Linked DNA regions of Macaca mulatta. The protein of the gene in region 4 interacts with the protein of the main gene of each other region in a pairwise test. Links are inferred from orthologs where the notes say so. Each region holds a gene or a part of one and is shown on either strand. Other genes may lie near its edges. The genes, in order: UBE3A, YAP1, ITPRID2, YWHAZ, CDC5L and TNFAIP3.

Region 1 (5,280 bases), on a different chromosome or scaffold from region 4:
ATAAAGGGACATGTCATAAAAGAGAATTTGTTCTCTGTTTCTACTTTGAAAAAAGTATAATCTTTATCCATTTCTAGAACCTCATTCAGTGGTTCATTAATAAACTCTTCAAAAGGGATAAGTGGTTTTCGACAATCCAGGGTTTTAACACCAAGTTCAGTTTCCAGGGGGTCCACTCGAGGACCTTTCTTGTTTCTTCTTTCTTCTCCCAAAAGCTCCTGAAGTGTCAGCTCACTGGATTCAGGGATGGGCTCTTCATCATCTTCTTCATTGTGATTTGTGTCCACTTCCCCTCCCACTACATTTGCATAGTAAACCATTTTCAAGCACTTCGAAGCAGCAACAATGGCATCATCATCGTTCACTAGATTTCGACTGTTAAATTCATTGCTTATGACTTTGTAAGTAATAAGTTGCTGAAATGTCTCCATCATTCTCCGAATCTGGTCTGCATTGTATTTAGACCACAGTCTGATCAGTTTTCCTTGGGCTGCAAGGGGTAGCTTGCTCATTGCTTTGCAAAATAATGGCAAAGCCATTTCCAGATATTCAGGACTGTGGAGATTTCTATTCTCCATTACGATAATGAACAAATTCAGATAATTAGGATCTCGAGAGTATACATTGTGATACGTCAAGTCACATTCCACGTTAGGTGACAAATATACAAGTGCATTGAGAAAGGCAGTTTCAATTTTTTCATTAGACAGCAATCTGGTGTAGACCCTTCTAATGGCATCAATATCCACAGACACATCATCAGGGCCTACTTTTTGCAAATTGTTGTCTCCCTGTGAGCTATCACCTATCCTTGAGGAAGATGCTTCTGAGTCTTCTTCCATAGCAGCAGCAGAACATGCAGCTTTTTCCTTTTCATCTTCATCCTTGTCTTCATCTTTTGCTTGAAGAGATTTCAGTTCTTCCTTGGTATGTTGTTTAACTTTCCGGAAGCTCTGTACCAATGCCTCAGCACTAGAAAAAACTCTTCCAATAACACGAATTAAAGGGGAATAATCCTCTCTTTCTCTACATAATTCAAGAATTTCATATACCTTCTCTTCTGTTAAGTAAGTCACATCTAGAAAATCAGAGGAAAAAAGAGAACATTTATTTTCATAATATGCATGTTTACCCTGTTGCAAAAAGTTCTAATAAAAGTAAAACAGCCAAACATTGTAGTCTCAACATCATTTATGATATACAACTCTAAAAGTATCTAATACTTAGATTCAGCAAACAAAATTCAATGCTTACCTATTTTTTTCAATGAACTACCTACACCAATGACCTCACCCATGCTTTTACATTCTTTCAACAATGCATAACTCTTAATGAGATCAGGAGAGTTTAAACTTTCTTTATAATCAAGATATCTATTAATGTATAGCTTTATTTATAAATATGAACCAATATGTCATATACTGATTAATCATAATACAGCTCTTAAAACCTCACTGTAGAACAGAAATACTACTAATCTTCTGAGAGTTTTCTTGTTTCAGTACTCCGTTCTCAAAAGACTGAGAAGGCAAAGTCTTAAAAGAAAGGTTCCTTCAGCATCTATGTATGTATTAAAAGAAAACTGGTTCATTTTGGGTCTTCCTAGTTTGTTCCAGGGTAGTCATTCTGTGAGTGATTGAGAAGAATATACCATTTCTCATCAGCTCTTGAGCAGAAACTGCTTTCTGCAGCCAGCAATCAGGTTAGACTAAGTCTCATAGAGTGACAGAAAATAATTTTTGAGCAATGAAAACAGTGCGAAGAAGGCAACTTATGAGCTGGCAAGCAGTGCAGAGACTATGTAGTCATCAAAATCTGTTTCCTCTTTTCCTGGGCACAGAGTTGGACCACATTTCCCAACTTTTTGAGATAAGTGTTATTTTCAGGCCAATGCTTTCCCCCTTCTGGCTAACAGGATGAAAGATATTTTATTTTACAGGTAAAAACAAATGATATATTTTGTGTACTGACCAACATAATACTGAGAATAGTCTTAATTCTCCCTTTCATCAATAAAGTGACATACTTATCATCATCAGATTAACTACTTAAGGGGTTAATTTTAGAGGCACACAATCCTACCTCCATTGTGCCAAACATACCTTTATACATGTACTATACAACATGTAGAATTTTTAATGACTCCCACCTCTGCTATAATATATCTGTTTCACAATGAAAGACAATATAAAATGTAAGTGATCACTGAATGGTCTCCAAAAATTGAACCACAAAAATACCAAATTTTATCATACTAAGGATCTGATCTGTGGCCAAGCTACAAGAGTGTCAACACTTGCAGTTTCTTTTATGGGCCTTAACTCTTTAAGAACTAATTCTCAGGTTTGTTCTATTAAGAATATATAAGCATCTTTTGCTAAACATCAGTAACCTTTTCCCCAAAAGCGTAAAACCACTGGAAGTCTATTTCTCATTATTTTCATTGAAAATTTTTATAATACCTTCTTCCAAGACAATGCAAAACCCCTATCTAATTTCCCAAAATGTAACAGAAAATTAAGACATAAAACACTTTGCTTCCTGAGCAAGTCATAAGCTTAACAAAGACTTGCTTTGCATGCAGTAATATGGCCTGTCCTAGGGATCACGATTCTAGACTCACATGTCCTTTGTTGATATGTCATGCTTTCGGAACATCTTCAAGTGATTCTGACAGTCTACTAATCCTATATAGAATGTACCTATACTTTTTCCATGTAGTGTTTTTTGTTGTGGTTGCTGTTGTTGTTTGAGATGGAGTCTCGCTCTGTCGCCAGGCTAGACTGGAGTGGCACGATCTCGGCTCACTGCAACCTCTGCCTCCTGGATTCAAGCGATTCTCCTACCTCAGCCTCCCGAGAAGCTAGGACTACAGGTGCACACCACCACAGCCGGCTAATTTTTTTGTATTTTTAGTAGACATGGGGTTTCACCATGTTGACTGGGCTGGTCTCGATCTCTTGACCTCGTGATTCGCCCGCCTTGGCCTCCCAAAGTGCTGGGATTACAGGCATGAGCCACCATGCCTGGCCTGTAGTGTTTAATATGTTAAACTGAATTTTTCAGATATATAGATAAAAATTAGTCAAAAAACACTGTAATTAGATATGAACATTCATAAAGTTTGGTTTACTGATAGAGGTGTTCTACTGAGAATATATTAAATAAGACATTTTTTGTAAGATTTCTTGTGATAAATGTGTCCCTGAAAATACTCAATCTTTTAAATTCTGCACTTAAAAACCTTTTACACAACAAGAGTTTGGTGCAGACTACTTAATAGTTACGCAACTTTGTGATTAGTGTTAATAAACATAATTAATAATCAAAATAAGAGTACTAGTGCAGAGACAGCATTTCTAATTTCTAATATATGATAGTAACTGTAAAACACTGCAAAAACAAAAACAAAAACAAAACAGTAAAGAACAGGGAATAGTACCAGTAGCAGATTAGAAAGTAGGAAAAAGGAAAGGTCAAAACTGCTAACTAATGCAGACTTCAGCAAAAAGAGGTGGGGGCATAAAGACCGGATAAAGCCACACAATAAGCATCTCTAAGATGGAGCATGTGGCCAAAAGAGCAGATGAGTACATTCCTCATGTATCACACCCCCCCCAGCTGGCTGCATTCCACTGTGCCAGCACTCTGCGTTCAGTTACTGGTACTCTGTGGTGCACACTTACTGGAGAACTGTGTACAATAGAGTCAATGCAGCTTCCACATTATACTGACACACTATATATATAGACATTTACCTATTTTTCCACAGTGTGTGAGCTAATTCATGAAACAGAACTATACACTCTGAAGCAACAAAGTTGTGTAAAGTGACGAAAATAATTCTATTGTGGAAACAGTAGAGGTTATAACACAATGCCACTTCATTAATTCTTTCAAACTTGATTCAGATGATGTTACTGAAAGTTTTAGAGGCAAATGCCTCTAAAATTCTGTCACTTACACGTCATAAACAAAAAGCTTTCTCTCTTAAAATACAATTGCCTCTGCGTGTGTATGGGGGTGGGGGTGCAGGGGCGCTAAGCCCTGGCAGTCATTCAAAAATTTGATTACCGTGTTACTAATTACATTCACTGAGGAAAATAACTTGGAGTTTTAGTATTAGCGACAAGGTAATCGAATCCTGAATTTTGGACACAGGACCATTTAAAAAACAAAAGACCTGAGTGAAGATTGTCATTGGTAGGTCACCACCCTTGGCAGCATGACTGTACCAAATGTTTGTGAGGAGAGTGAGAAGCATATATTTGAAGGAAATGTAGAATTCTCACATAACTATCACAAAATTTTGTCTTGCCTTCTAAAATGGAAAAAAACCCACTGCTTCCTCTTCCTACTTCTTTCATCACATCATCCTGAGGTTCCAGAACTCATGCCAGATACTGAGTCCAGTTATTCTATAACTTAAATAGATGTTGTGGCCTAGTTTTGGAGATTAACTATCAATTAATACTTTTTTTCCTAAGAATTTTAAAAAGTTCAAATCCATCTATTAACAAATGAACTTTTGGCATATGATCTGCTTCTAATTAGCAACGATTAAACCTGTAAAATGTAGTTATTATTCCTGTCCTTTACCAAAACAAAAAATTGGTTCTACAGTATCAAAATGTCTTAATGTCACATAAGAAAAAACAAATAAAAACTCATACATTTAAATCTCCCACATGGTTTTCAGCCAACAATTCTCAATTAAAAATAAAACATCTTACCTTTAAAATCAATTCTAGTGCCTTTCTTGTTCATTTTTATCTCAGAGCAGGAGTTGTTGGGGGCACCTTTCGAGTTCTCAAGGTAAGCTGAGCTTGCTCCTTTCTTGGAGGGATGAGGATCACAGAGTTTTGCATTAATCTTATAAAGCTCGAGGGCTTTAATAGCTGCTGCATTATTATCCATACGAAGAAAAGTTGGACAGGAAGCACAAAACTCATTCGTGCAGGCTTCATTTCCACAGCCCTCAGTTAACTGGTGGTAGTAGCGTTCTATTAGATGCTTTGCAGCTGCTCGCTTCCTGTACCAAACAGTCAAACAATAAGCACAGTGATTAGTATAGCTGTCATGTACAAAGCCCAACAGATCATCAAGGCAAAAGTTAGTCAAGCACTGAAGTGATTAACCTGTGTGCGAAGATGAGAAGTAGAAAATGGAGATGCACTATTTACCAACAACCCCTGACTAGTGAAATAGCTAATAAATATTTTCTAGGATATGATAAAGAATGTCAATGCTTACTGACTGCATTAACAGAGTATACACTCC
Region 2 (5,280 bases), on a different chromosome or scaffold from region 4:
CATAGTAATAACTCTTTCTAGAACACTAAACTACTTCAAACATCTGCAGACTGCCCCAACCAGATTTAAACTACCAGTGAAATATAAACTACTAGTCACGTATTCTAAATGCATACAAAGCGCTACCATTTTAAAAATTAACTGGAAAGTAGGGAAACCTAAAAAAAGGATACATTCCACTACCACACTATTATAAATGTTACGTTTGGGTGTGTGTATGTATATAAAAGAGAGAGCAGATAATCAAGATTTAAATAAGGTGGTAAAAAAACCAGGAAATGAAGATTTTACCAAAACAACTATAATAACCGTCCCAAGCTACAACTATGAACAGATTCACTAATATGGTCATTTGCCTAGGTTCCGACAAAACCAACCAATCAACACCCCCCACCGCCCCACCAAAAAAAACCCCAACAAAACAAAATGCACACCCACAAAATTATCCACCAAAATCTATACTAGAGTATGTGGCAATAATTAATATATTTCTATGGAAATTGTCTCATGCCTTATAAGCTCCTAAAATAAAATCAAGGTCACTATGTGACTAATGATAGCACTAGGAGGAAAGGAAAATACTGAAAGTAAAACAGGCTTCAGCCTTGGTTTCAGCTATCTCTTCAAATCAGCATTAAGTATTTAATATCAGATAGAACATTTTTGGCTTGTCAGACCAGTAAATCATGTTTTTCCACTGGCCAAAGGCAGCTGAAGAAACAACTGGTGAGCAAACTAAATGCTGTGACATAAAGCATCTGACTTCTAAGTCTGAGTATTTAGTTAAAATGACTGGTGAACATTTAACTGGGCAAAAGGAATGGCATCCATCATCCAAACAGGCTCACTTCCCCCAGCCCCCAAAATGAACAGTAGTTATAATAGCAAAAGAAACAAAAAGTTTTTTTCTTTTTTTTGATTCTTTAGAGCCAACTGTGAAAGAGGTCAGCAATATATTAACAGCAGCAATGGACAAGGAAGAGCAAAATAGAGGATTAAAGTATCTTGCTGGACGTTTGTTCATCTTTTTCTGTATTAGCCAGAAAATTGCAACTGGCTTATGGAAATTTCAGGTGCGTATGTCTCCTTAGATCCTTCACAGATTTAGAATTCAGTCTGCCTGAGGGCTCTATAACCATGTAAGAAAGCTTTCTTTATCTAGCTTGGTGGCAGCCAAAACAGACTCCATGTCATTAAGGATGTCAGAACTCAAAGCTTCCTGCAGACTTGGCATCAACTCCTCTCCTTCTATGTTCATTCCATCTCCTTCCAGTGTTCCAAGGTCCACATTTGTCCCAGGAATGGCTTCAAGGTAGTCTGGGAAACGGTTCTGCTGTGAGGGCAGGGTGCTTTGGTTGATAGTATCACCTAGTGGAAACACACACAGAGAGATAACAAAGTCCTTTTTGAAAAGCTAACATCAGGGCTGTATCATATGAGCATACAGAAATGCACAGGGAAAGAAAAGCGCTCCTGACTGACCTAAACTGATACCTAGAATTTATATCAGGTCAAACAACTCACAGGTAACAAGATAACAATGCCGAGTTTACTTTTGCTTCAACATTTGTTCAGATATCCAATAACAGCTCGATTGCTATTATGTGCTGAGCACTAAAGGGAGTCATTAAAAAAATAAAAAAGTCCTTGAAAAATTATATGCAGCAGGGGGAGAAAGAACAAGAACACAACACAACAGCATCACTACCCTGTCTTCCAGATAAGCACCACCATAATAAGACTAAACATAAAAACGAGTGGTATAGAACTTCCTTGGTCTTAAAAACACTTTGGGAAACATTAAAATAAAAGGACTGCATGAATACTTTATTCCACCCTTATGCACCTTCATAACAGCAAAACAAGCTTCCCAGAGGGCTTTGAAGAAATACATCTTCTTAGCCTTGCTTCTAGGTTTCCCAAACTTACTCCGCCACAGAGCCTTTTTTGCATATGACAACATTAACATTCCTCAGAGCTTCAATAGAACATACTTTCAGAAAAACTAATATAAATCATTAAGTGCTATAGGGATCTAGAGAAGAGAGAAATACAGATTAGAGAAGTAAAAGTGTGTGTGAAATGGGTTTGAAGTGGCTCCTAAGGATGATTTAAAATCTAGGTAAGCAGAGAGGAGGGGGTAGTGTGGATTCTAGAAAGCATCAAAGCCAGGAGCTGGATGAGTACAGGCACAAAAGCCTTGCTAAACACTTTCAGAAGAGAAGCAGTTAGCGAAAGAGCTGGTAGCTAAAGAACAGCTTCATTTCCCTGCCAATTCATGCAGTCTGGCAGTTGTCAAGTTTAAGGCAATGGTTGCCAGGTAAGCCACAGGAGAAATGCTTCCTTAATTATCCCTGTGAGGCAGGTATTTCTTAGCTCCTGCAAGACCCCTGTAACTATTCCTTTTTTTTTTTTTGAGACAGAGTCTTGCTCCGTCACCCAGGCTGGAGTGCAGTGGTGTGATCTCGGCTCACTGCAACCTCCGCCTCCTGGGTTCAAATGATTCTCCTTCCTCAGTCTCCTGAGTAGCTGGGATTACAGGCGCACACCACCACACATGGCTAATTTATGTATTTTTAGTAGAGACAGGGTTTCACCATGTTGGCCAGACTGGTCTTGAACTCCTGACCTCAGGTGATCTGGCCACCTCGGCCTCCCAAAGTGCTGGGATTACAGGTGTAAGCCACCACACCTGGCCTTCTGCAACTATTCTAATAAAGTAAGTGGGCCCCACCTCCTAGTCTTTCCCATCTGGTTTCCTGAGCCCCGTAACACCTAAGGTGGACCAAAAACTCTTAAGAGAAAAGATGAAAACAAACACTGAATAACATGTAGACATTTCTCAAAATTAAGGACACAAATCCATAATAAGGAGAGAGATGTTCTAACGGGCACTTGTTTGTCTTGCCAATTAAGATCAACATGCTAATGTAAGTCATGCTGCCAGAGTTTTATTCAAATAGAGCTAATATATCCAATTTATGATTTTTTTTTTTTTTTTTTTTGAGAACGGGTCTCATTCTGTCACCCAAACTGGATGGAGTGTAGTGGTGTGATCACCAGGGCTCAATCCATCCTCCCACCTCAGCCTCCTGAGTAGCTGGGACCACAGGCACGTACCACAACACCTGGCTTATTTTTGTATTTTTTTGTAGAGATGGGGTTTCACCATGTTGCCCAGACTGGTCTTGAACTCCTGGGCTCAAGAAATACGCCTACTTTGGCCTCCCAAAATGCTGAGGTTACAGGCATGAGTCACCGCACCCGGCCAATTCATGATACATATTTTTTTAAACTAGGAAAATACCAGTTACAAATCACCATATAGAGACAAAGCAGGCTCAATTTAATTCGAATTTACAGGATTTTAATTGGTTTTCTTCTGAATAATCTTTGCTTACAATACCTTATTAGACCTGGTGATAACATATCCGACTGTAAGTCAGGCTACTAAGAGGAATAAAGAATACCAACCTGTATCCATCTCATCAACGCTGTTCAGGAAGTCATCTGGGGTGCGAGGGACACTGTAGCTGCTCATGCTTAGTCCACTGTCTGTACTCTCATCGCGAGAGTGATAGGTGCCACTACAAAAACATGACAGTTAAAGACCAACACAAAAAATTTTAAAAATCAATTCAAGGTAAAAATAAACACCTGCTGAGTACCAACATAATTCTCAAAGAGGGTTAGTGAAAATTCCTGCTCTGCAATGTCTGAAACAAGCCCCTCCCTCAGGGCCGTAGACAGGGCTTGTGCTATGAAGTGAAATAGACAAGTTAATCCTAATTGAAGCTAGCAGCCCTAAAGAGCCAAGATTTCTCCTAAGGTTCTGTGCTTGATGACAATAAGGGACAAAAAAAGGTACCCCCAGTTAGTTTTCCTGGCTGGCAGACAATTCTCTGCATGAGTATTCTCCTCTCTGTAATACTATTTGAATCTGGAGGTGGGGAGGAACCCACACAACTTACTTGTCCCAAGGTCTCAATTCTCCAGGTGGTGGTGGCACAGACAGAGAGGTCAAAACACAAACTCCAGGTGGGCGAGGAGACAGGTCTGCACTAGATTCAAGTTAAATTCCTAGCTCTTGTGCAGAGAACATAAGCCAAGGAAAAATCAACCCCAAATAAACCACCAGAATTCCTTTTAGGACTGAACCAAAATAGATGAGTCACTGCTGATAAGATAAGAATACTCATGGCTTGATCTCCTTGCTTCTGTGTTTGGGCGGGGGAGGAAAAACCCTCAAACACTTTAGTACGAAAGGAAACGGGAGATCATATAGCTCCAGTTAAAGAAAGAGCAAGACAAAAAACTGCAAGGCACATCCCTTGAAAATAAAATGACCCGACACAGATTTTCACTTTAGACTAAGCAAGGTTTCCCAGATTTACATTCATGTATGGTAAATATCCATTACTCTGATAAATAGAACACTCTCCTAAGCTGGTAGCATCTAGACATCAGCGGGCATTCACTGAGGTCTACTAACTCTAGAAAATTCTCAGTTCTACTAACTCTAGAAAATCTTGGAGAAAAGCATAAAATCAAGGCAGCTGTTATTCTTCAATGGTCTGTGTACATGTGTGAACTTTAACTTTCTCTATAGATTGTACATTTAAAAGCAGCTATTTAACTTACATAAAAGTTAAAAAATAAAAACAAGTTTAACAATTGCTCAAGGCTACAAGCTCAGTCAGTACCCCAACTGCCTTCCCTAAATGATGCAATGCGTTTGCCTTGTTCTTTCTCTCCCCTCATTCTATATACTGCAATCACTGGTTTACTCTAATGCTTCTGCCAGATTTTGCCAATGCTCAAAAGCTTCACACAGATCCAAGAAAACACATACTTGCCTCTGAGACCACTGATATACAATGCAGCCATGGATGAGAAGGCCTCAGTATTTGGCTTGTTTGTATTTTGCGTGCCCTGATCTGGGACAAGAGCCTGGTCCTAGTCATCACTCTATTCGGCTGCTAAGCATGGGACGCACATCAGACATTTTAGTCTATTACTGAATAGCTGAACTTACAGAGTTGTGCAGAGTTCATTCCAAACCACAGGGGAAGCACATGGGCATTCCTGAGAACAGAGTTTACAGGGCCATTTTCCTGGCGAGGAACTGCTCCCTGCAGAACCTCACCTCCTACAGGCCCCACTCATTCAATAAACATTCACTGAGCATCTGCTACTACATGACAGGCATTAAACTAGGCTTTGAGGATAACGAGGTTAACCACCACCACCACCTACAAACAATGTTTTGTGAGAGACTCA
Region 3 (5,280 bases), on a different chromosome or scaffold from region 4:
AGGTACCATTTGATTCCTTTAAAAACAAATGGAAAAGAATCCAAAATAAAGAAAAAGTTTAAAGGGAACGCTTTTTATTTAAAGGCAAGAGAGAAAAAAAAACTGAGCAAAATACATATCTGTGTTCTCCACAGTTACATGCAACAATTAAAATTTACATTAGTCATATGTTAATTCACTATCATTTTTCCTTTAAAAACACTCAACTTTCCCTTATTCTTTCCTATTATTAAAATTTATCATTAAAATGTTTCAACATATTTCTAAATATGCTATTTATAACAATTATTACAAACTGTACATTCAACTGGTTTGTGGGAAAGCTCCTTAAACAGTATGCATGCTTTTAATACCATTAAAATAAATAACTTGAAATGAAGGCACAAGTCCTAAATTATTAGAACATTATAAATAAATCTTTGGTGAAAACTCCAACCACCCTCCAGGTAGCATACCATGAGTGCAGAAGAGCGGAAGGGTGAAGGCATGCGCACAGCACGAAGCTGCTCCTCCAGGCCCAGGAGGCGCTCCTCTAGCTGCAGTTCCAGGTCCTGAAGTTCCATTCGGACTGAATTTCTCAAACTCTGGAGCTGATCAACTTCAAACCTATTGGTATGGTGAAGGGCACAAAGTTTGAAAAATGCAGTTTGGAGATTCCTAATCACAAATCTTTCAACAACTACTATATGCTAACAGAAGGTACAGAAATCTCAGGTTCTATAATAATTAGTACAATATCAACTACAATAGGTATATCCACAAGGATATTGGTCTTTCTTCCCCCATCCTCTCACAAATATCTCAAACACTGGAAAACTGGTTACAACCACCCTTAGGATACTGAAGGCACACAAGTTTACTTAGTAAAACACTATCTATGACTATTTTATCTACACTGGTTCACAAAACGGATATAAGGTACATAGCAGTAAAATCAAAACCTAATTTTTAAAAATATAAGTTGAAAAGACTTTGAATGAAAAGCTTTTTCAGGAGTGCTAAGACAAAATGAACTTTTACCTTTCCTCCTCAGTCATATGATGATAAACCATGGTTTGCTGACGCAGCATTGCCAATTCTAAATCCATCATTTGTGTTCTAAACAAATTCAGGCTCCGCCTCATTACCTGGAGCTCCTGAAAAGTATTCTAGAATGCAATAAAACAAAATTACACTTCTAAATTCTACAAATTATTTTGAAACACAAAGATGTAAGTAAGAACTTACTTCATAAAGAGGTAGAACAGATGATTTCTGAGTACTATATGGAGCAGCAGCAAGATCAGGTCCTCTCATCATAGGGTACTTCAAAAAGTAAAAGTAGGATTAAAATCAATGTTAAAGTGAATACTTCCAAATCACTTAAAGGGTTAAAAGGCAGAATGTGAGGCCTACATATTTTTCTCGTTAAGACAAAAGGATCTAAAAAACCTTCATATTGTAAGCAGGAAAAAAGAAATCAGTTCCCAATGACATCTATTACTGCTAGCTGTTCCGGGTATAAGTCAATCTATGAAGGAGGAGAAGGCGAAGGAACATACATAGTTCACATCTATTTCTTTCAGGACTTTCCTCTGGCCTTGCAAAAGTGAAAAAAAAAAACAAAAACAAAATCAAAATGCAAAAATGTAGAAGTCATTGCAAATATCATCATGAGAGTATAGCGATTATTACACTCTCTGGAGAGAGTAGCAAGCAATCGTCGTCGTCTTTCTTAGAGAGCATTTCCCATATGCCACTATTTTAGGCAGTGAGATAACATAAAAGGTATTCCCAGCCTTCAGGTGTCCTCACAGTGTAAGGAAAAATAAACAAAATGTTGTAAAAATTATAATACTGTGGAAGCAGTGCTATGATGGACACACAAAAATTCATATTACATGAACTTTCCCAAAAGTGGTGACACTACTTGAACTGAGCCTTAACAGTAAGTAGGGCTTGATTATGCAAAGAAAGGCAAAGGCTGGGTGATCTAGGTTAAAAAAAAAGTGGCTTGCAGTCCCAGCACTTTGGGAGGCCACAGCAGGAAGATTACTTAAGCCCAGGAGTTCAAGGCTGCAGGGAGCCGTGATCACACCACTGTCTCCAGAACTCCATGTGGGCGACAAACAGAAACTTCATCTTTTTATTAAAAAACAAAACAAAAAAAAAAAAACAAAAAAAACAGCATGTGCAGATATGTAAGAACACACAACTGTTTAGAGCCCTGTGCATAGTCCTCCAGGATGGCTGAAACACACAGCTAAGGAATGAGGCTGGAGAGACAGTCAGAGACCACATCATAGAAAGCATCTGTCCACTAGTTGGGGTGGGGTTGGCATGGGGAGATTTATTAGCTGAGTTATTGCTGGGACATCCAGGAGAGAGAGACCACAGCTGGAGCAGAAGAACAAGGTGGCCTAGAAAGAAAGATGCACCACGGTACTGGTGGACAGGCCCCTGGAAATCCCCAGCTTGACATAATTACAGCTGCAAAGTTAAACATCTCCGTCACAGACAGAACTATATTTTGTAAGGAAGAACAAGAAACACCCACATTCTGAAACTGTCCCCATTCAGAAAACAGGGGACAACTGTCATGAGGATAAAACTTAGTTAGGAGAAGGTATATCTTATTATAACTTGAGAAGTTACACTTTTGATTTTTACTTTCCAAGTGGCTCCCTGTCTATTATGTCACGATAAGAGATTTATTAGATTCATTGTAGGCCTCCTGACTCCTTGTTGAATGCTCTCATGACTATATTACATTGTCATTTTCTTCAATTCTTCAATTGTCTAAACATGATTTGTTCAGAACGTTCACGAAAACGTAAAAGGCAAAACTGAAGACAACTTACTTATTTTCAAAGCTTTTTTGGGAAAATTATTTCCAGTCCACTAACAAATCTGAGAATGACTTTAAAAGTAACAAGACGGCTGGGCGCAGTGGCTCACACCTGTAATCCCAGCACTTTGGGAGGCTGAGATGGGTGGATCACGAGGTCAGGAGATCGAGACCACCCTGGCTAACACAGTGAAACCCTGTCTCTACTGAAAATACAAAAATTAGCCGGGCGTGGTGGTGGGCACCTGTAGTCCCAGCTACATGGGAGGCTGAGGCAGGAGAATGGCGTAAACCCGGGAGGCGGAGCTTGCAGTGAGTGGAGATCACACCACTGCACTCCAGCCTGGGCAACAAAGCGAGACTCCAGCTCCAAAAAAAAAAAAAAAAAGTGACAAGACATACAGAGCATTTTAAATCAAATTCACACTTTACCTGATTTGTTATTTTCTGGTCTGGAGTAGTTCCAGTCTCTGAGTCCAGTGGAAGTAGACTAACTCTGTGCACAGCATCGAGGGTCAGGAGGTGAAGGGGAAAGCTTAGTCAGAGAGCTACGAGCAGAACCAGGAGAACGTGGTGCCACAGAAGCCAACAGGGAGAAAACTTGGAAAAGGAAAAGGTAGTCAACATGTTCAAATGGCAGAGAAAAGGAGAGAAAGAACTTTGAGAGGGAAGATTTTTTAATAATAGAAATGGCTTGACAAAGATTCTAGCCTAAAACAAAGACAATGGATGGTAGACTAAAAATGGGAGGATACTTCATGAGCAAAATCTCTCCTCTCAGAAAGGAGACAGAATTATGAGCAGAGAAATCGACTTTGATCAGGATTAGTTACAGCTTCTCCCTTGAAACAGGAGGGAAGATAGAAAAGGAAGGCAGATGCAGATAAGTTTAGACATGTCAGAAAATAAAGCAGAGGTAGTTCATATTTGATGTGTCTTAGCTTCTCTGTGAATTAAAAAGTGCTCAGAGCAGTAAAAGAAAAAAGCTAATAAAGATAACTTTTTCTCATACCTGTGAAAGATTCTGCAGTGAGTTTCTAATATCGTGTAATACTCTTCGCAACTGCATTTCTATGGCTGAAGGAGGATTCACAGAGCACGCTCGGTAAGGGTAGGTGGCATGTCTATGTGAGTAAGGACACCCGAAAGGGGAAGCAAAAGCGCTACAGGTAGCCCCTGATATGTTGGGAACACTGTGAGTGCTCAGAGTTCTTGTGTGCTCACACAGGGGCCTTTCTTGCCACTCAGAGTGGACGGAGTGAAGGGAGCAGGTAGACTGAGACATTGGTGGTGGAGCAAGCCGGGAACAGGTAGGAGTCCTTCCATGGTGGCACTCCTCCACCCGCGGCGCCTCACTCGGGGGGGCTTCTTCTTTCTTCACAGATGATGGAGAAATGAAAATGGTCGATTTCACTAAAGACTGACCATCATGTTCCATCACCCCCTTTTCCAATTCCTGCTCCTCTTCGGGTGTGTACTTATAGGTGAAGGAAGGTGGGCTGCATCTGGTCTCTTTTCCTGGAGATAGTCGAACATTGACAGAGGACACAACCCTTACTGGGCTCAGTAAGGTGGTTGGTAAAGACTGAGACCTTCTTAGAGGATAGCCAGCTTTTGCAAATAAGTACCTTTGTTTTAACAAATCTTTTGATTTTAGCAGGCTACGCCCTATCCTTTGATTAGACAGAGTGCAAACCTTCATTTGAGCTCTTTGTAAAGCTGTATTAACTCTGTCCACGGAAGAGGGAGGCCCAGCTGTATTTTCAGAGCTCGTATCACTGCATTTAGCTTCAATAGAAGCCAATGATTTCAGAATATGGTGTGTGGTATACTGAGTAAATTCACATTCACTGCTTTTATCCACATCACTATCAGCACTTGCTTCCCTCAGTAGCTCTACCGTCTCTGCTGGAAACAAATCCTCTTCCACTTCAGTAACTTCAGTAACATGATCCCCTGAACTACAGGTGGACTGTTTAGTTCCTGGATTCTCAATGGTCTTGCACTGAGGGAAATCCTGGCTACCTGATTTTCTTTTGTCTGCAACTGCTGCTGCTTTCTCTAGTCCCTTCTGAAGAGGGATGAGAGACTCCTCCTCTGATTCATTAAAATAAGGCTGGTCTTGTGCTGTTGGTGTGGCAAGGTCTTCACCAAGTGACGTAACTGTTGTCTCACTGTCACAACTATCAGCACTACTCCCCATAGCCTGCAAGGACTCCTGAACCTGTGAAAAGAAAACAGGTGGAAAGATGAAGAATATATGTAAGAAGAGTCATTAACAAAATACCAAACCAACACAGTGCTTCTATAATTTCACTGTCTCCACTGCAGTTATGGCCCTGCTGTTGCTCAGAATTGTTTTATTGCCCCTGAGCAGCAACCACATCCCTCCTTCCTTTCACTTTCTCACAAAGACTATTTCAGAACTTCACTGTTTTCCTAAAATTCCCTTT
Region 4 (5,280 bases):
CCCAAGGCATGTAATAATATATTCAGACTACAAGGGACTCAAAAACTACTTGCTTTCTTATCTTATTTGTTTAATGGTAGTTCTGTGGGCTGGAGATAAAAATCGGTGCCCCATAACCACAACTTAAAATTGCTCTGAGCAAATAAAAATGTAGAGCAGCAATAAAATAGAACTCAGTCGAATTAACTGAATCACTATTAAGATTACTGAACTGCAGTTGCCAACTGTTATGAATGTTAGACACACAATTTTATACTGCTTCCTGTCGTAGACTTCCTATAAAGTCATTCTTTGCCTATAGCAGTGGATTTTAAATTTTAAAATGAAATCTTTGAAAATCTGATGGTTGGCATGGACCTTCTGCCCCAGAAAAATGCACAATCTTAAAGGCTTCGTCCATCTTCTAAATTCCATTCATGGACTATAAGTTAAGAGACCCCTGCACTATTACAGGCAGGCTCACACTTTTAAATAGAACTGAAAAGCTAAGATAAACAGGACACAAAAGGTAGTCAAGGTGCTTTACCTCTCATTCCCCACAACCCTGGGGGATGAGAATTATTCCTATTTAATTGAGCTTAGTTTTCTCAGAGGGACTGAGTGATTTCCTCAGGCCATGCATCTATTAAATGGTAAAACTAGTTTGATTCAGTATCTTGAGCTCCATTATTCACCTCGACATACTTCTTTGAGTTTGAAATAGTCTTCCTAGACTGTGTTTCCTTGGTATTCATTTCATCAAGTGCAAGATAAAAACTACCCAATTTTTGGCTGCCATCTTTCAGGTTTAAAGAGGTGCTAGTGTTGAGTCCCTCCCCAACTACCAAGAGAGTTTCTGTCTAAGCATCTGGCAGGAAAGGCAGATTGCATTAGTTCACATATTGCAGTTTCAAATTAACACATGGAAGAGAAGAACTCGAAGTTCTTTTACATAATGAAAAGTCCACCTTGTGAAGAACATGCCAGTGACCACTTTCCACGGTAATGCTCTATTAACTCTTGTAATAAGCAACATGGTCCAAGCTCTTTGCTTATTAAATGGTTAAACAATTGATAAATACATGTAACCAAAATGGGTTACTAAAAAGTTCTTCAGAAAAACTCAGAACGTTGGAGATTAGCTGCTTTTTGTAGGAAGAGTATATTTTCATAGCTATTATAAAATAGGTGCTCAATATAAAAAATCTGGTTATCACTAATGCCACCAGCCAATACCATTAATTCTGCAAAGGGATTACCTGCTTATTTTTCTCAAATTAAAGTGTGTGTGTGTATATATATATATATGTATATGTGTATATACATATATATCTCTCAAAGCCCAGAAAAGGCTGGAGTAATAAAAAATTATAATTGATTTTTTTACCATGTAAGATCTCAAATATATAATTTAAAATATTTTTAATAATCATTAAGTAACAATGATTCAAAAACTTTCTCTAGTAGAAATACCAGTTCTGCTACACTTTATTCTTCCATTTCACTAAAAAGGGGAAAAGGAATTTTATGCAATGTTTCCAGAGTCGATGTGACCTATTTGAAATAGATGGTAGGAAAAAGAAGCCTATTATCTGTAAATATCAAATTTTCCCAAGCAGAAAAAGAAAAAGCCAGGGAAATTTTGCAGTGCTGCTGACCTAATTCTATCCTTTCTCAAAAAAAGCCTTTCTGCTTGTTTAACAAATATTTGAGCATCTACTACACGTTCTGAGTATGCAAAGATCACTAAGTCTTACTCTTAAAAAGACTAAGGCTGGAAGCCAAAGCTTGTTTAGAATTCTCTTCGAACCCACTTGTATAGTAAAGAAAACTCTCATTCATCCAAACTTTCAAAGTATAAATACCATTTAGACTTTTTAAGAAGCCAGTGCTATTCTAGAGGGTAACGATGTGAGTAGGGACCAGAATCAAACTCCTTAATAATCATAACAACAAGAAGCTATTAAGAGATTATCTTGTCATCCTCATCTACTGGTTCTATGCAAAAAATTTTTCTTGATAAGGAAACCAAAGGGAAGCATAGTCAAAACTGCTACAAGTTGGGCCAGACATGGTGGCTCACCCCTGTAATCCCAGCACTTTGGGAGGCTGAGGTGAGTGGATCACCTGAGGTTGGGAGTTAGACCTGACCTGGTTACCAGCCTGGCCGACAAGGTGAAACCCTATCTCTACTAAAAATACAAAAATTAGCTGGGCGTGGTGGCGCACGCCCTGTAATTCCAACTACTAGGGAGGTCAAGGCAGAAGAATTGCTTGAACACGGGAGGCTGAGGTTGCAGTGAGCTAAGATCATGCCATTGCACTCAAGCCTGGGCAACAAGAGCAAAACTCAGTCTCAAAAGAAACACAAAAAAACAAACCTGCTACAAGTCTTTTCCCAGGAGAAGACTCACAATGACAGGAACTTTTATACTTTGTATATGGAAAACATGCACATACCTACCTGGTATTGCAAATAAGCGTGTTATTAAAAGGTAAATGTCACATTCCTTTTTATTCCTAAAATTGACTTTTGTCTTAAGGGAAATGTTAACTTGTAACATATCCTTTGAAGCCCAAATAAAAACTTTTTGATCAAGTGTAACACCAGACTGAACAAAACTGAGTTACACTTACACAGATATTAGTAAGGAGAGCAAGGAAAAAAAAAAAAAAAAACCCAATACATTTTTTATTATAGAAAAAAAATCACATTTTCAAAATTTAAATATTCTTACTACCTTAGCAAAATCACAAGATAGGTATTTGTCACTTGGCCTCAATAAAAGCAAGATATTCCTTTTTTCAACTTAGATACAAATAACAGCTATCATTGTAAAGGTTTCAATAAGAACAACAAAAAAAAAGCCCCAAGACAGATGTCTCATTGAGTTTGTGATTGTGAACCCAAATAAGCATGTTTTAAAAAATCACTATTATTTTAAAAGACAGTGTCAAGTATCATTTGAGAAAAATACAGTTTAGGAATTGATGCTATTCCATTAGTAAATACAAGTGTAAAGAAATGATAGCATCATCACAACTGTAACAAAAACCCCAAACCCACAACCACATCAGACATTATCCTATTGCTCATTACAGTACTTCTTCCATATAAATAAGGTTCATATAGTAAGTAACACACCTGGATTTCCATACTGAGTCCCACATTCAGTAACCTGTCCAGAAAAATCGCGATGCTGCTGCCCCTCTTTGTATATCAGAGTCCTGCCATACTGGTTAAGTGTAACCATTTAGCAAAATCACTTTAAATATTATTCCAAAAACTGCCAGCTTGGATTTTCTACTAGTTTATCCTCAAATTTAAACTATTCTTGATCAAAAAGCCCTACTTTGTATGACAGATTAAAATTAACCAAAATGTAGTTTAATCATTTTAAGCGTAGTGCTTCAACACAGTAGGTACTGAATACTTAAAATACTCGATTCAAACTGGAAAAATCAAGCTTGAGTTATTCATAACCTTTCATCATGGTTGCGAGTGTTCAAAATTTATTTTCAAGAATTCAATGCAGGAAAGAGGTTTCATAGTCGTGACGCCAGAGTTTTCTGCATGGCTGACTCATTACATTAACATTATAGCGGCTAATCCTGAGAAGAGTACTATTTCTACAATCAGTATCCTATTACATCTCTCTTACATAAAATATGTAAAATTCCTTTATCCATAGATGTACATTTAAGATAACCAGCTATAGAGCTACCACAAATGTTCTAACCATAAGTAAAGCAGTAATACTATTAGTTTATCTTTTCAATAATACTAAAGTCTGTTATTTTTAAAACTGAACTGTTTCATCATCATTATTACAATTACTTTACATACACATATCTATAATTGTCTTAACATCTTTTTAGTTATGACACCATGAAGACTTTTAAATCTGAACACACAATGTTTAGAAGGAAAAGATAAACCGAAGAAAACGTTGAGAGTAATGTAACTGATACTCATAGGAACCTTACAGTATAATGAAGCCAGATTCAATTGATTCTCACCAGTACATCATTGCAGATATCTCTTAGCTCCGTCTCAATTTTCTCTCTGTATTCTCGAGCCATCTGCTGTTTTTTCTCAGCACCTTCCGTCTTTTGTTCAATACTTGAGACGACCCTCCAAGATGACCTACGGGCTCCTACAACATTTTTATAAGCAACTGAGAGAAGATTCCTCTCCTCATTGGATAATTCAGCTCCTTGCTCAGTTACAGACTTCATGCAGGCTGCCATGTCATCATATCGCTCAGCCTGCTCGGCCAGTTTGGCCTTCTGAACCAGCTCATTTTTATCCATGACTGGATGTTCTGCAGGGGGGAAAAAAAGGAGTATTTAAAATTTTTCCCATCAAAATAAACAGACTCAAAATTATACCTGTGGTAAATGAGTTTTTTAAACCTGAAATCTAACTGCCTGTGGAAGACTGTTCACATGAAGAATTAAAATGCAGCTTCACAAAAGGATAGTCAGAAAAGGAAAAAAAATTCAGCATACTCAGCATCAGAGGTAAACTTTCAGCCATTAACACATCAGTGTAGCAAAACTAAAATTTGTTCAGAAGATACAGATTTCACATAAGGTCAAAATTACTTTCAAAAGCTGCCTCAAAAACTTACCCCTAATCTTACTTGACCAAAATCTCAACTCATTTCCAATACCACTAAGTGATCTGAAATTAAGCAGCTTTTCTTCCATAGTAAAAGCATTGTTTACAGAGAACATCTGGATTTCTATCATATTTCCAGAATCATAATTCTTGTCAGTTTAACTCATGTCTTTTTACTTTCATAATACTTTCGTCAGGAGTGATTAAATTTTAGTTTTAGTGTTACCCCCACCCCAAACCTACTAGATCTCTGCAACATTTGCCAGCCAATAATAGCATAACAATTTGGGGGGAGGAATGACCAAACTGTTTGTTTTCAGATATTTTGAGTATAAATCCACCACAAAGGATCAATATCTGACCCTAATGCCTCAACTCCTTATCTTGTTATATGTCCACATGCTTTAAAAATATCCACAAGTCATGGCACTTCAACTCTTACTGTGAGTACTAGAATATATCACGTTGGAAGTACTTGATTTACAAGTGTTTCCAATGTCATTGCTCCAGTTGAAATGCAGAAGTGCTGCATTTTGCGTCTAGCTGTCATACTGTAATTGGATGTTATCACTCAAGCTGTTCTTCACCATGACTATCCACCTAATTCTCTTTCCCTCGCGTTTTAGTTTCCTAGACCTTTTCTATTTACCTCAGCTACATTTTTCTGGAAAGATATC
Region 5 (5,010 bases), on a different chromosome or scaffold from region 4:
GCATCAGGCTCCTAAATGGACTGGTTTCCCTATTCCCAGCCTGGTGAGATCTTACACAGTTAAGGAGATAAAGTGATGTTTCTAAAACCAAATCTGATTATGTCATTCCTTTGCTTAGATCTTCTCATAGATTCTTATCATATTTAAAGTAAGATCCAAATTCCTTATTATAGCCTTATTTATGTGGCTCTATACAACCAGGCCTTACATACAGAAATGCCATTCTTGACACTCCAGCCACATAGTCCTTTTTGTTCCTCAAACATACAAAAGAGGCTTTGTTTGCTATTCACTCCACCTGGGATGCTCTTTCCTTGAATCTCACAAAGATGGCCCATTCTAAAATGTCAATCACATGTTATCTTAAATGTTACTTCTTTAAGAGGTCTCCTTGGCCATGCAGCTTATAGTGGTATGGTGTGGTACAGTGCAGTGGTATAGTGGTGAGCACAGCTGCCTTCCAAGAGGTCTCTTTGATCGTCCAGTCTAAAATAGCCAGTCATTCACTATCTCATAATCACCCTACTTTAATTTCCTCCACAGAATCTGAAACTCATGGTCTGATACTTTCCCTGTACATATTTAGTATCTCCTCCCCACTAATGTCACCTCCGTGACAGCAAGAACTCTGTCTTAATAACTGCTTATCTCCAACACTTAAGTAAGTGTCTGACACATAAGAATCACCAAATAAACATTTGGATTTTAATTGTCTGTTATTCTCAAAAGACTATAAGCTCTACTAAACAAGAACTAGGCCTATTTTGTTCGTTGTTCTCTCTCTAAAACTCTGGCACAGGGTATACATTCAATATCTGATGAATGAATGAATGAATGAATCCCTTCCCTTCCTATAGTTCCTAGTATTCTAAGACTGGGCAAATGTTTTTGGTCATCTCAAAACATTGCTGGCCTATAATGAGCTCATAGCCAACTGATACTGTACACTAAATTAATTTATATGAATTATTATAAAATTAAATCTCTCCACCTCTATCCATTCCCCAAATTCTACACTGATGTAACTGACTTCTTACGCTAAACATAGAGCTTTAAGTTTGATGGCCTTCTTGAAATTAACTTTTAAAATGCCTTTGTCAAAAAATACTTACAAGAAAATAATAGGTCAAGGAAAATTAAATATTTTAAGCCCTGACCCATAAATTATTTAAGTAGCTGGAGGAGAAGAAACCTTCTTTAAAGTGATATTTAAAAAAAATTTGAGGTACTAAAAAGTTAATCTAACTCGTCAGTGTACACAGAAATGACCATTCTTTGCTGAAACTAACAAAGCCACAAAGAACTGCCTCTTAAGTGTTTAAGATACTGCATCACCATTTTGATTACCCAAGAGTTACTCATTAAATATGACACAGAGTACATAGCTGCTGGTTTGCGGGCACTCTTAAGTATCTAATTACTTAAAACAAAAGGCTACATTCTCAATTTTTTATATTTTGTTTTTATTTAAGAGTTACTCACAGGCAGCACTTTAAAATTAGGCTTTTTAAATTAAAGGCCAAAACTAAAAAAGTTTGCAAATATGACATTGCTAAAAGAATGACAGCCTTAATAATTTAAACTCTAAAATGTCCGTCCTGTGGAGTTAAGGTCTTTATACACAGAATGTGTAAGATCGATATCATTTAAAATAAACAACCAAAAAACCACAGATGGTGGGTAAATTTGTCAATGAAGATAAGCATCAGTTTCAGCCTTCTAGAGTATGAAAACCGGCAATTAATCCTGTGACAGAATATAAACTGTACTTCAGAACTTTGACTTTAAAGTCTCTTTCTCCAGCAGCAAATCAGCGTATCTATGTTGAAGTTCCTTTTCTCTTTCTTGTTGTCGCTGAACATCTTCTTTTAGACACTTAAAGAAACAAAAATATTAAGTAATTCTTTTAGATGTAACTATATTGAAAAAAATCTACAGTACTTTACTATCTTAAAAACCAGCTGAGTTAAATCATGATTCTTAAGAGGTAAAAATTTCTCAAAGAGAAACAAACGTATCAAATACTTTTGCTATAAAACCAGTATCACAGCCATTCTTTGATTTGGTCATATGAAATCCTGCTGCTACTTCAAATAAACAAACCACTACTGTCTTATCAGTACCCACAAATGCACTTCAAGAAGCCCTGGCTGCCCTTTAGCTGGACAGGAGCTATTATGCACATTTGGGAGATAAATTGAATCCAAATCCGGTCAAAGGAATTTGATGGTTTGGAAGGACTAGCTATGTTCCCAGCCACCTAAGTTATAAAACAGAAAGATATTGGTTTAGTTTCCCCTCACAGAGCTACACGAATGGGATGTGATCAAGTTTCAAGGGGACAAATTACAAGGGCTAAGTATTCCATTTCACAGTGTATCTACGTATGAAACAGAACATGAGTAAAGGAAGGCCTTTGTATCTACAACTTGCCTAGTCTATCCATCTACACAGAGGCAATTCTAGATTAAAGTCAAACACTTTAGGCTCTCATTTTTAAAAGCCTGACACTACCAACTTCAGAGACAGCCTACATAGGAGAAGTAAAAGAGGACAGCCCTGATAATTCTTTGCAGCACTCTTTTAAAGCAACGCTTCAATATATAACGTTACCTCTAGCCTCCGGGGAATAGCAGAATCTTCATGTTTCTTGAGTTCTTCAAAAGTGCGTAACTCCAAGTGAGCCTGTTCAATTTGGTCCCATAAGTCATTCAACTGTTTCATGAGCCCCATAGCACGAGACTGGTAACCCCCAAGCAAAATTTTCATCTTCTTTTCCATCTTTGCAGCTCTCTTGGCTTCTGTCGTCATGTGACCCCTGTTTATCTGGAGAGCAGGGGAAGATCACATCAGCATACATGAGAAAAGTAGGCTATTAAATAAAGGGCTAAAAAGGTACCATTCGTTCATGCATGTGCCTCAAAGCAAAAATACACTAGAACTCCTTATAGCTCAACTACTGTAAAAAAAAAAAAAAAAAAATCAAGCTTAAGAAGGATTTATCTTGCACCTAAAGGGTTTTATAGGTGAGTACCAAATAATCTATAATCTATTTATAATAATTTGACCCATGACTGAACCTCAAAGCGGGCTTGAATGTCACAGTAGGGGAAAAACTAATGCCTACTTTCTGAAAATGACTTCTGCTATCATTCAACGTATTTATTTTGGGACTAGCTACAAGCTATCTTCATCATCTATATCCCAAAAATGTACTTCTGGGAGTCTGTTCACACATCAAGACCCCAACTTTTACAGTTTCCATCCCAGGGCCTGCATCCTAAATCTCCTGGCTCTGGGAGCTGAGGGATCTAGTGCAAGTCTTCCTAGATCACTACATCCCTAGAACAAAGAGATACTTTTAATCAAGCATGCAAGTACTTTCACAGACTGCACCCGTTGGGGGCAGTGCAGAGAAGGAGCCAAAAACATGAAGCTCCACATTTCTCCCTGGAAGGGGCTCATGGCACAGTCTTCCAGTGGCTACTTGACAGCCTGGCTTTTAACGTGCATGGGGAGTTAATGGGACAGTGGAGTTTTTGCAAAAGTAGCCTTCTGGCAGCCTAAGCAGCAGCTGGACACTTTCCAAGCCTTTCCCCCTAGTCTGCCCCAGCAGTAACTCTAGGCCTACCAATTCCTCCTAGGAGTTTATCCACACATCAAATGCCTCAATTTGCACAGCATCTACCCAAAGGACTATATCCTAAATCTCCTAGATCTGGTAATGGAAGAGACTAAGCATATGCATGTCTCTCTAGATCAGAAAACAAGGAGGTGGTTTTAAACAGGTGTGCAAATACTTTCTAGGGCTACACTCTCTGGGAGCAGTGAAGAAAAGAGTCTGGAACATGCAGCTCTCATTTTCTCTCCAGAAAGGGTTTATAACCACATACTCTTCCAGTGGCTACTTGACAGCCTGGCCTCTAACTTGCATCAGAGAGCTAATGCGGGAGATAAACAGTACCCCTCAGGCAGCCTGAGCAGGAACTTGGCATATCCTGAGCCTTTCCCCCAGCACATCCCACTGATAATTCCAGGCCTACTCATTCTTCCTAAAAGGAGTTTGTCTACAGACTGCGTGCCACACTTTTACAGCTCCACACAGACAAGGGACTGTACCCTTCACAACCTAAGCTCTGGAAAGTGACAGGGCTTTGCATTCCTGAATCTCCCTAAACCACAGAAAACAGAGGTGGACATACTACGAGCCCACTTCCAGCAGATTATCTCACCAGGATCACAGAGTGCAGCCACAACACAAGTATAGGCATTTGCCACAGAGACGGCTTAGTGTAGAGAGAGTGGAAGAATCAAGCACTTATCTTCAACATGATGACAGAAGGAACTAGGACACATACCCAACACCTCAACCTTCCCAGCTACATCGAAGCATCTGGCTTCTACCTGACTGATTACAGGGTATTGATGGAATATAGTACCAAGAATAGAGACAGCAGTCTGAACAAATACAAAGATTTAAAGGGTATCTTAAAATATCTAGCTGGATGGATTGGCAAGATCCTTCTGCTACACAAGGCCAGTCTAAGAAGTCTGAGAGAGGCAGTTGTCTCATGTAACGCACAGAAACCAACATAGAGACAGCCAAGAACAATTAAGAAATAGGAAAATATATTCCCCAAAAAAAAAAAAAAAGAAACAAAATAAAGCAATAAAAACCAACCCAAGTGAACTGGAGATATATGATTTACCCAACAGGAAATTCCAAATAATGGTCACAAAGATGCTCACCGAGGTCAAGTGAGCAATGCAAGAACAAACTGAGAACTTCCACAAAGAGACAGAAAGTATTAAAAAGTACCAATGAGAAAACATAGATCTGAAAACTACTAAAACTGAACTGAAAAATTCAATATGGGGGTTCGACAGCAGACTAGTTTAAGCAGACGAAAGGATCAGTAAACTAGAAGACCGGTCACTGGAAATCATCTAACCTCAGGAGCAAAAAGAAAAAATAATGAAAAAGAATGACCTAAGAGACTTATGGGACAC
Region 6 (4,907 bases), on a different chromosome or scaffold from region 4:
AACTGAAAGCACTCGTTGCAGTAGCCGTTGCACTTGGCATTGCCAAAGTGATCACAGGCGGGGGCCCGGCAGCGCTGCTTGGGGGGATCTTCGGGGGCAGGCTCACCCCGGTGGGCCCCGGGGCCCATCCTCGGGTTGGGATGCTGGCACTCCATGCAGAGCTCCTCGCTGCGGCAGGCCAGGATGTTCTTGCAGGAGGCCCGGGCGCACTTGGGCCTTGAGGTGCTCTGTGTGGTTCGAGGCACATCTCTGCGCTGGCTCGATCTCTGAGTGGAAAGAACAGACGGATCATTAAAAAGTCAGGAAACTATTGCTCACATTTCTTAGGGACAGCACAGTGAAATCTCATTGGATAGTGTGGAGTCTACAAAGAGCTTTACCTGCCTGAGCAAGGGAACAGGAGAGCACCGCAGTCTATGAGCCAGAGCTCTTGAAGGATGTTTCCTTCCAATCTCAAGGAAAGCTGACTTGGCCCCCAGGGAGGCTGAGGAAAACCGTCAAGCCTAAGTTGGCCTGCAAACTTTCCCTGGCTCTCTTCTGTTGGGACCAATAACCACTGTTCTTAGATAGCTTCTCTACCATTATGTGAACAACAGGCGACACACCTGTATCTGTCAAAGCTGGCTTTTCTGATGTACCATTAAGCGCAGGCCCCCGGCAAGCTCTGTCTGTTCGCTCCTTGTGATAAACGATTATTTAAGAAGGGCTGCTTTTTAGATGTCTGTGCTTCTCTTACAAATCAAAGAAGCCTCTGATCACGGTCTGGCTTTCTGGGGGCTGGAAGAAGTTTTATGCAATGGCTGTGTTTCTTTGTTTTTAAAATGAATTCAAAAGTATTCTTGGAGCATGAAAATCGGTGGCAGCATTTCGGACCTGGGGAGCCACAGTGACATGGACATTCCCCTTCAGGTTCTGAACTAATCCTTTATCATGAGGGGACAGAACCTGGCAGAGACGAAAGCCTGCTTGTCACTGTTGGAAGCCAACGCTCCAGTAAAAAGCACCGGACACACGGGAGGGAGGGAAAACTCCTCAAAATGTCTCACCAGTTGCTCTTCTGTCCTTTTGGCCTCATGAAATCTCTGATTCTGAGCTTCAATGAAACACTTCTGGCAGTATCCTTCAAACATGGTGCTTCCAAGGGTGCCGCACTCCCTCCCCAGGCACGGAATGGTGTTCTGGAACCTGGAGGCTGTGGGACTGGCTTTCCCTGAGGCAGCGACCAAATCTACACGAGAGTGGATGCTAGTTAGTACCACATAGGGGTCACCCCACAGATACAGAGATGCTGACATTAGAGAAATAAATGGGTTCCAAATACAGATTAGGCCAGCCTTAAATATATAGAAATATATATATGTACATATTTAAGTATATAAATTCAGCAAAAGAAATAATAACAACACTATTATGGAAACATCTTTGGCTTTACCGATCTCTCATTTTGAACTTGAAGCACTGATTGGTCACAGGAACAGGGCAAAGAGCAGGCATTACCTGGTCACCCTTCTTTCAAACGAGAGATTTCCAAAACCACATCTGTTTCCTTACAGTGTCAAGAGAGACTTCCTTCTCTCCAGTTACTACTCTTCAGATTTTAAGATTGTTCTATTATATCTAAGTTGCAAAAGAAGTCTAGTTTAAGACTGTCTTAGATACGCCAGACCTGAACGGTCTAGTAAAAGCAAATCCCATGAGCTCTGTCTACAGGGCACTCTGGTTTTTGGAATGTGATATTAGGAGCTGCTATAACCACGCAGTGCCTTTTGCCTCCATGGGCAGCTGGCAGGGCCACCGTGGCTGTCCCATGCACAAGCCAGTAGAAAAGCACGGTAGGTCCTGACCACTCTGCCTGACTGCCCACACGGGATTTTTTCCTTAAAGGTCAGGAACAAAACCTCTTCTGGACAGTAGCTGCTATGTTAGGAAGTCAACCATTTCACTCACGTTTGTTTTCTCTGTACTCGATGAAACACAGTGTGCAAAAGCCCTTGTTTTCTGGAGTCCCAAAATACATGCAGCCAGCTTTTCTGCACTTGCTGGTCCCCGTCCTGTCCCCCGGAGTCCGTGCAGCTTGAGACAGGCAGCCAGCGGGGGCGTCATTTCCAGCTCTGTGGCAAGAATGCGGGGAGGGGCTCCGGACGAGCTGTGAGGGATCTGACTTGGAACGCTGGTGACAGGAGGGAGGGAGGCTGGTGCTGAGGCTGGAGGAGGCCTCTGCTGTAGTCCTTTTGAAGCAAGTACTGCAGATCCCATTAAATGTCCTGGTGACATCCTGGAGGCAGGCTTGGCACTTCCCGGGATCCAAGTGCCTTGTGTGGTCTGCGGCGTGGCTGGCGTGAAGTTGCCGGGCGTTGTGGCAACGTTCACAAAATCCGTTGTGCTGCACATTCAGTGTGAAGGGGCAGCCGGGGCTCCTGCACTTCATGGCAGTGGTCTCACTGAACAGAAAAGGGCTGGGTGCTGTCGGTGGAGCAGAATGAGGCCCCCCAGTGGGCTCCTCGGGGTTCCACGCCAAGGGCTCATAGGCTTCTCCCCGAGAGGCCCCGAGCGCCATGCCAGGGAGCCCCTCGGGGCCCGGCTTGGAGTTCAGCTTTGGGAGTTTGTTTTGATTCTTTTGCCGCCTCTCTGAGCACTCATGGCATAAAGGCTGGGTGTTCACAGACATGAAGAAGGGGCAGTTGGGCGTTTCACATTTTACATCCATGAGAGAAAGCTGGGGCAGGGAAGATTCCATGGGATTCTGGGCATGCATCTCGCTCCTCCCCTGCTCGCTGTTTTCCTGCCATTTCTTGTATTCATGCTGAACAAGCTCAAAGTAATCATCTACCAGATTGATTTCTTTTGGTAAGTTAGCTTCATCCAACCTGAAGACCAAAAAGAAAAAATATGTATGAGACTACACAAAATCACACACAAGATTTTACATCATTAGCCTACAGAACAAAGTTTTAGAATATGGATTATGGCAAGAATTGCAGAACCATTAACTGAAACGCAGGCCTGTGATGAAGAGCTCACACTTTTCACGTAACATGATCTGACACATTTCCCAACACGTTCTAGAGTCAAGAATGATGTCAGTTAGTTTGCTAAGACTTCCTTATTTTTAAAATCACAGTTTCATTTAATCAATCTTGGTCCATCCAAAAATTATAGATAGTTTTAAAACAAGGGCTAAAAAAAAAAAAAAAAAAAAAAATCAGCTGACTCTTTAATTTCTCAGAGATCAAGTTTTGAGTAAAACATCACTCAGGCCATTCGTTTGGGACTAGTCTACTTTATAGCACAAACTACTTTGGAACCTCAGGTTGGGTATTTTGCTATTACTAACTTTAAACTTGTGTCTGGTCTCCACCAGCATTAGCAGCCATGAGTAACTAAGATGCAGACACACTCAAAGGCACTTGCCTATTTACTGTTGACTCTGTAATTTGCTAATCTCCACGTTGAGAGACAGATTCTCTTACGGCCTCCTTGTCATCTCTTGTGCATCTCAAGTGCTCAGAAACAGGCATCTCTTTAACATAAAGCCAACGTTTAAAGACCAGATACCTGCACAATGGGCATTCTGGGGCTTTCCTCCCATTCCATGTGGCAGAATCATGAGCTGCAACAGGAACAATTCTACAGCCCCAGCTATGTCTGATGTGCCTGTTCTTACCAAGAAGCCAAGAGAGAAAGCTTTTTGTTTCCAAGTGTTTTCACTTGCTAGTCTTTTTAATACGTACCAGAGTAATTAAAATACAAAAACAAAAAACAACAACTATCCTTGATGTAAATGCACTTTGAAAACCCATAATTCTGCAATTCTGGCTTTTGGGATCCAGATATCTAGGAAACTCAATATGGATAAATGACTTATTTCGATTTGAAACCCAAGTTAGTACGGCCTTACAGAATCCTCTCTAACCATGCACAAGGCTCTGAATTTGTTTCCCACTGGCAGAAACTGGCCACAAATCACTCTACTGTTGAGCTTCAGGGTGGCAGCAACTCAGGTGGCTGAGGTTAAAGACAGTTACAGATGACACAGGAGAGAGCTGAACATAAACTGCTTACTTTGCGGCATTGATGAGATGAGTTGTGCCATGGTCCCAGCCTTGGACAGGGATTTCTATCACCATTAAGTACTCTTTTAAGAGCTTCTCCTTCATCTCATTTTCAGGATCTGTCAAAAAGTGAACTTTCAAGTCTTCAAATCTTCCTCGGTCTCTGTTAACAAGTGGAACAGCTCGGATTTCTGAGGGAAAAAAAATAACACATAAGTAAAATCGTATTCTACTAAACAAGGCCATAGGTAAGTAGATCGCATTTTGAAAGTGTGTAAAATATATAATTTACAGAATAGAAAACTATTCTCAGCCACAGTTAAACCCAAAAGGGAAAACAGAATGTGCTACAATCTAATATAAAAATGCACTGTTTCCAGGAAACTCACAGAATATTAACCAGCCTGGAGGGGGTGGATCTTATTGGTTGAAGTCCCAGGCTTTAGAATCAGACTGACCTGAGTTTGAATCCTGGCTTTTGTCAAGTTGTGTGGCATTAGGCAGGTCAGTTGACCTCTCTAAGCTTTAACTGTCTAATCTGTAAAATAAGGCTACCAAGCCCTACATCTGACAAGAATGCTAAGAGGATAAAAATGCAATAAAATAATATATCCAAAGCACAGTGCTTTTTCCACATGAAGCTATCAAAATAACAGCCAACAGGCCAGGCACGGTGGCTCATGCCTGTAACTTTGAGAGGCCAAAGCGGGAGACTGCTTGTCCCCAAGGGGTTGAGGCTGCAATGAGCCATGATTGTGCCACTGCACTCCAGCCTGAACAACAGAGGGAAACCCTGTTTCAAAAAGAAATAAAAAAGCTAACCTGACAGGCATTTACTTGTTCCATAACAGGCAC

The links.
Region 1: the proteins of YWHAZ (region 4) and UBE3A interact in a two-hybrid assay, tested with the Homo sapiens proteins (2 studies listed by BioGRID and IntAct, with this or other methods). The link is inferred for Macaca mulatta from reciprocal best matches to the Homo sapiens genes YWHAZ and UBE3A.
Region 2: the proteins of YWHAZ (region 4) and YAP1 interact in binary tests that used the Homo sapiens proteins (3 or more experiments, as listed by UniProt). The link is inferred for Macaca mulatta from reciprocal best matches to the Homo sapiens genes YWHAZ and YAP1.
Region 3: the proteins of YWHAZ (region 4) and ITPRID2 interact in a two-hybrid assay, tested with the Homo sapiens proteins (2 studies listed by BioGRID and IntAct). The link is inferred for Macaca mulatta from reciprocal best matches to the Homo sapiens genes YWHAZ and ITPRID2.
Region 5: the proteins of YWHAZ (region 4) and CDC5L interact in a two-hybrid assay, tested with the Homo sapiens proteins (2 studies listed by BioGRID and IntAct). The link is inferred for Macaca mulatta from reciprocal best matches to the Homo sapiens genes YWHAZ and CDC5L.
Region 6: the proteins of YWHAZ (region 4) and TNFAIP3 interact in a two-hybrid assay, tested with the Homo sapiens proteins (4 studies listed by BioGRID and IntAct). The link is inferred for Macaca mulatta from reciprocal best matches to the Homo sapiens genes YWHAZ and TNFAIP3.

Annotation. Positions count from the first base shown.
Region 1 is NC_133412.1:4,573,733-4,579,012, reverse strand, and holds part of UBE3A (ubiquitin-protein ligase E3A), read right to left. Parts: intron 5,033-5,280; coding exon 4,734-5,032; intron 1,079-4,733; coding exon 1-1,078. UniProt on the Homo sapiens protein: E3 ubiquitin-protein ligase which accepts ubiquitin from an E2 ubiquitin-conjugating enzyme in the form of a thioester and transfers it to its substrates.
Region 2 is NC_133419.1:103,096,490-103,101,769, reverse strand, and holds part of YAP1 (transcriptional coactivator YAP1), read right to left. Parts: intron 3,588-5,280; coding exon 3,475-3,587; intron 1,369-3,474; coding exon 1,130-1,368; 3' UTR 1-1,129. UniProt on the Homo sapiens protein: Transcriptional regulator with dual roles as a coactivator and corepressor. Critical downstream regulatory target in the Hippo signaling pathway, crucial for organ size control and tumor suppression by restricting proliferation and promoting apoptosis.
Region 3 is NC_133417.1:86,843,409-86,848,688, reverse strand, and holds part of ITPRID2 (protein ITPRID2), read right to left. Parts: intron 5,052-5,280; coding exon 3,840-5,051; intron 1,306-3,839; coding exon 1,228-1,305; intron 1,149-1,227; coding exon 1,021-1,148; intron 607-1,020; coding exon 456-606; intron 1-455.
Region 4 is NC_133413.1:111,303,123-111,308,402, forward strand, and holds part of YWHAZ (14-3-3 protein zeta/delta), read right to left. Parts: intron 4,305-5,280; 5' UTR 4,294-4,304; coding exon 4,000-4,293; intron 1-3,999.
Region 5 is NC_133409.1:137,663,762-137,668,771, forward strand, and holds the end of CDC5L (cell division cycle 5-like protein), read right to left. Parts: intron 2,827-5,010; coding exon 2,614-2,826; intron 1,876-2,613; coding exon 1,771-1,875; 3' UTR 1,478-1,770; downstream 1-1,477.
Region 6 is NC_133409.1:42,970,115-42,975,021, reverse strand, and holds part of TNFAIP3 (tumor necrosis factor alpha-induced protein 3), read right to left. Parts: intron 4,244-4,907; coding exon 4,063-4,243; intron 2,868-4,062; coding exon 1,948-2,867; intron 1,229-1,947; coding exon 1,047-1,228; intron 267-1,046; coding exon 1-266. UniProt on the Homo sapiens protein: Ubiquitin-editing enzyme that contains both ubiquitin ligase and deubiquitinase activities.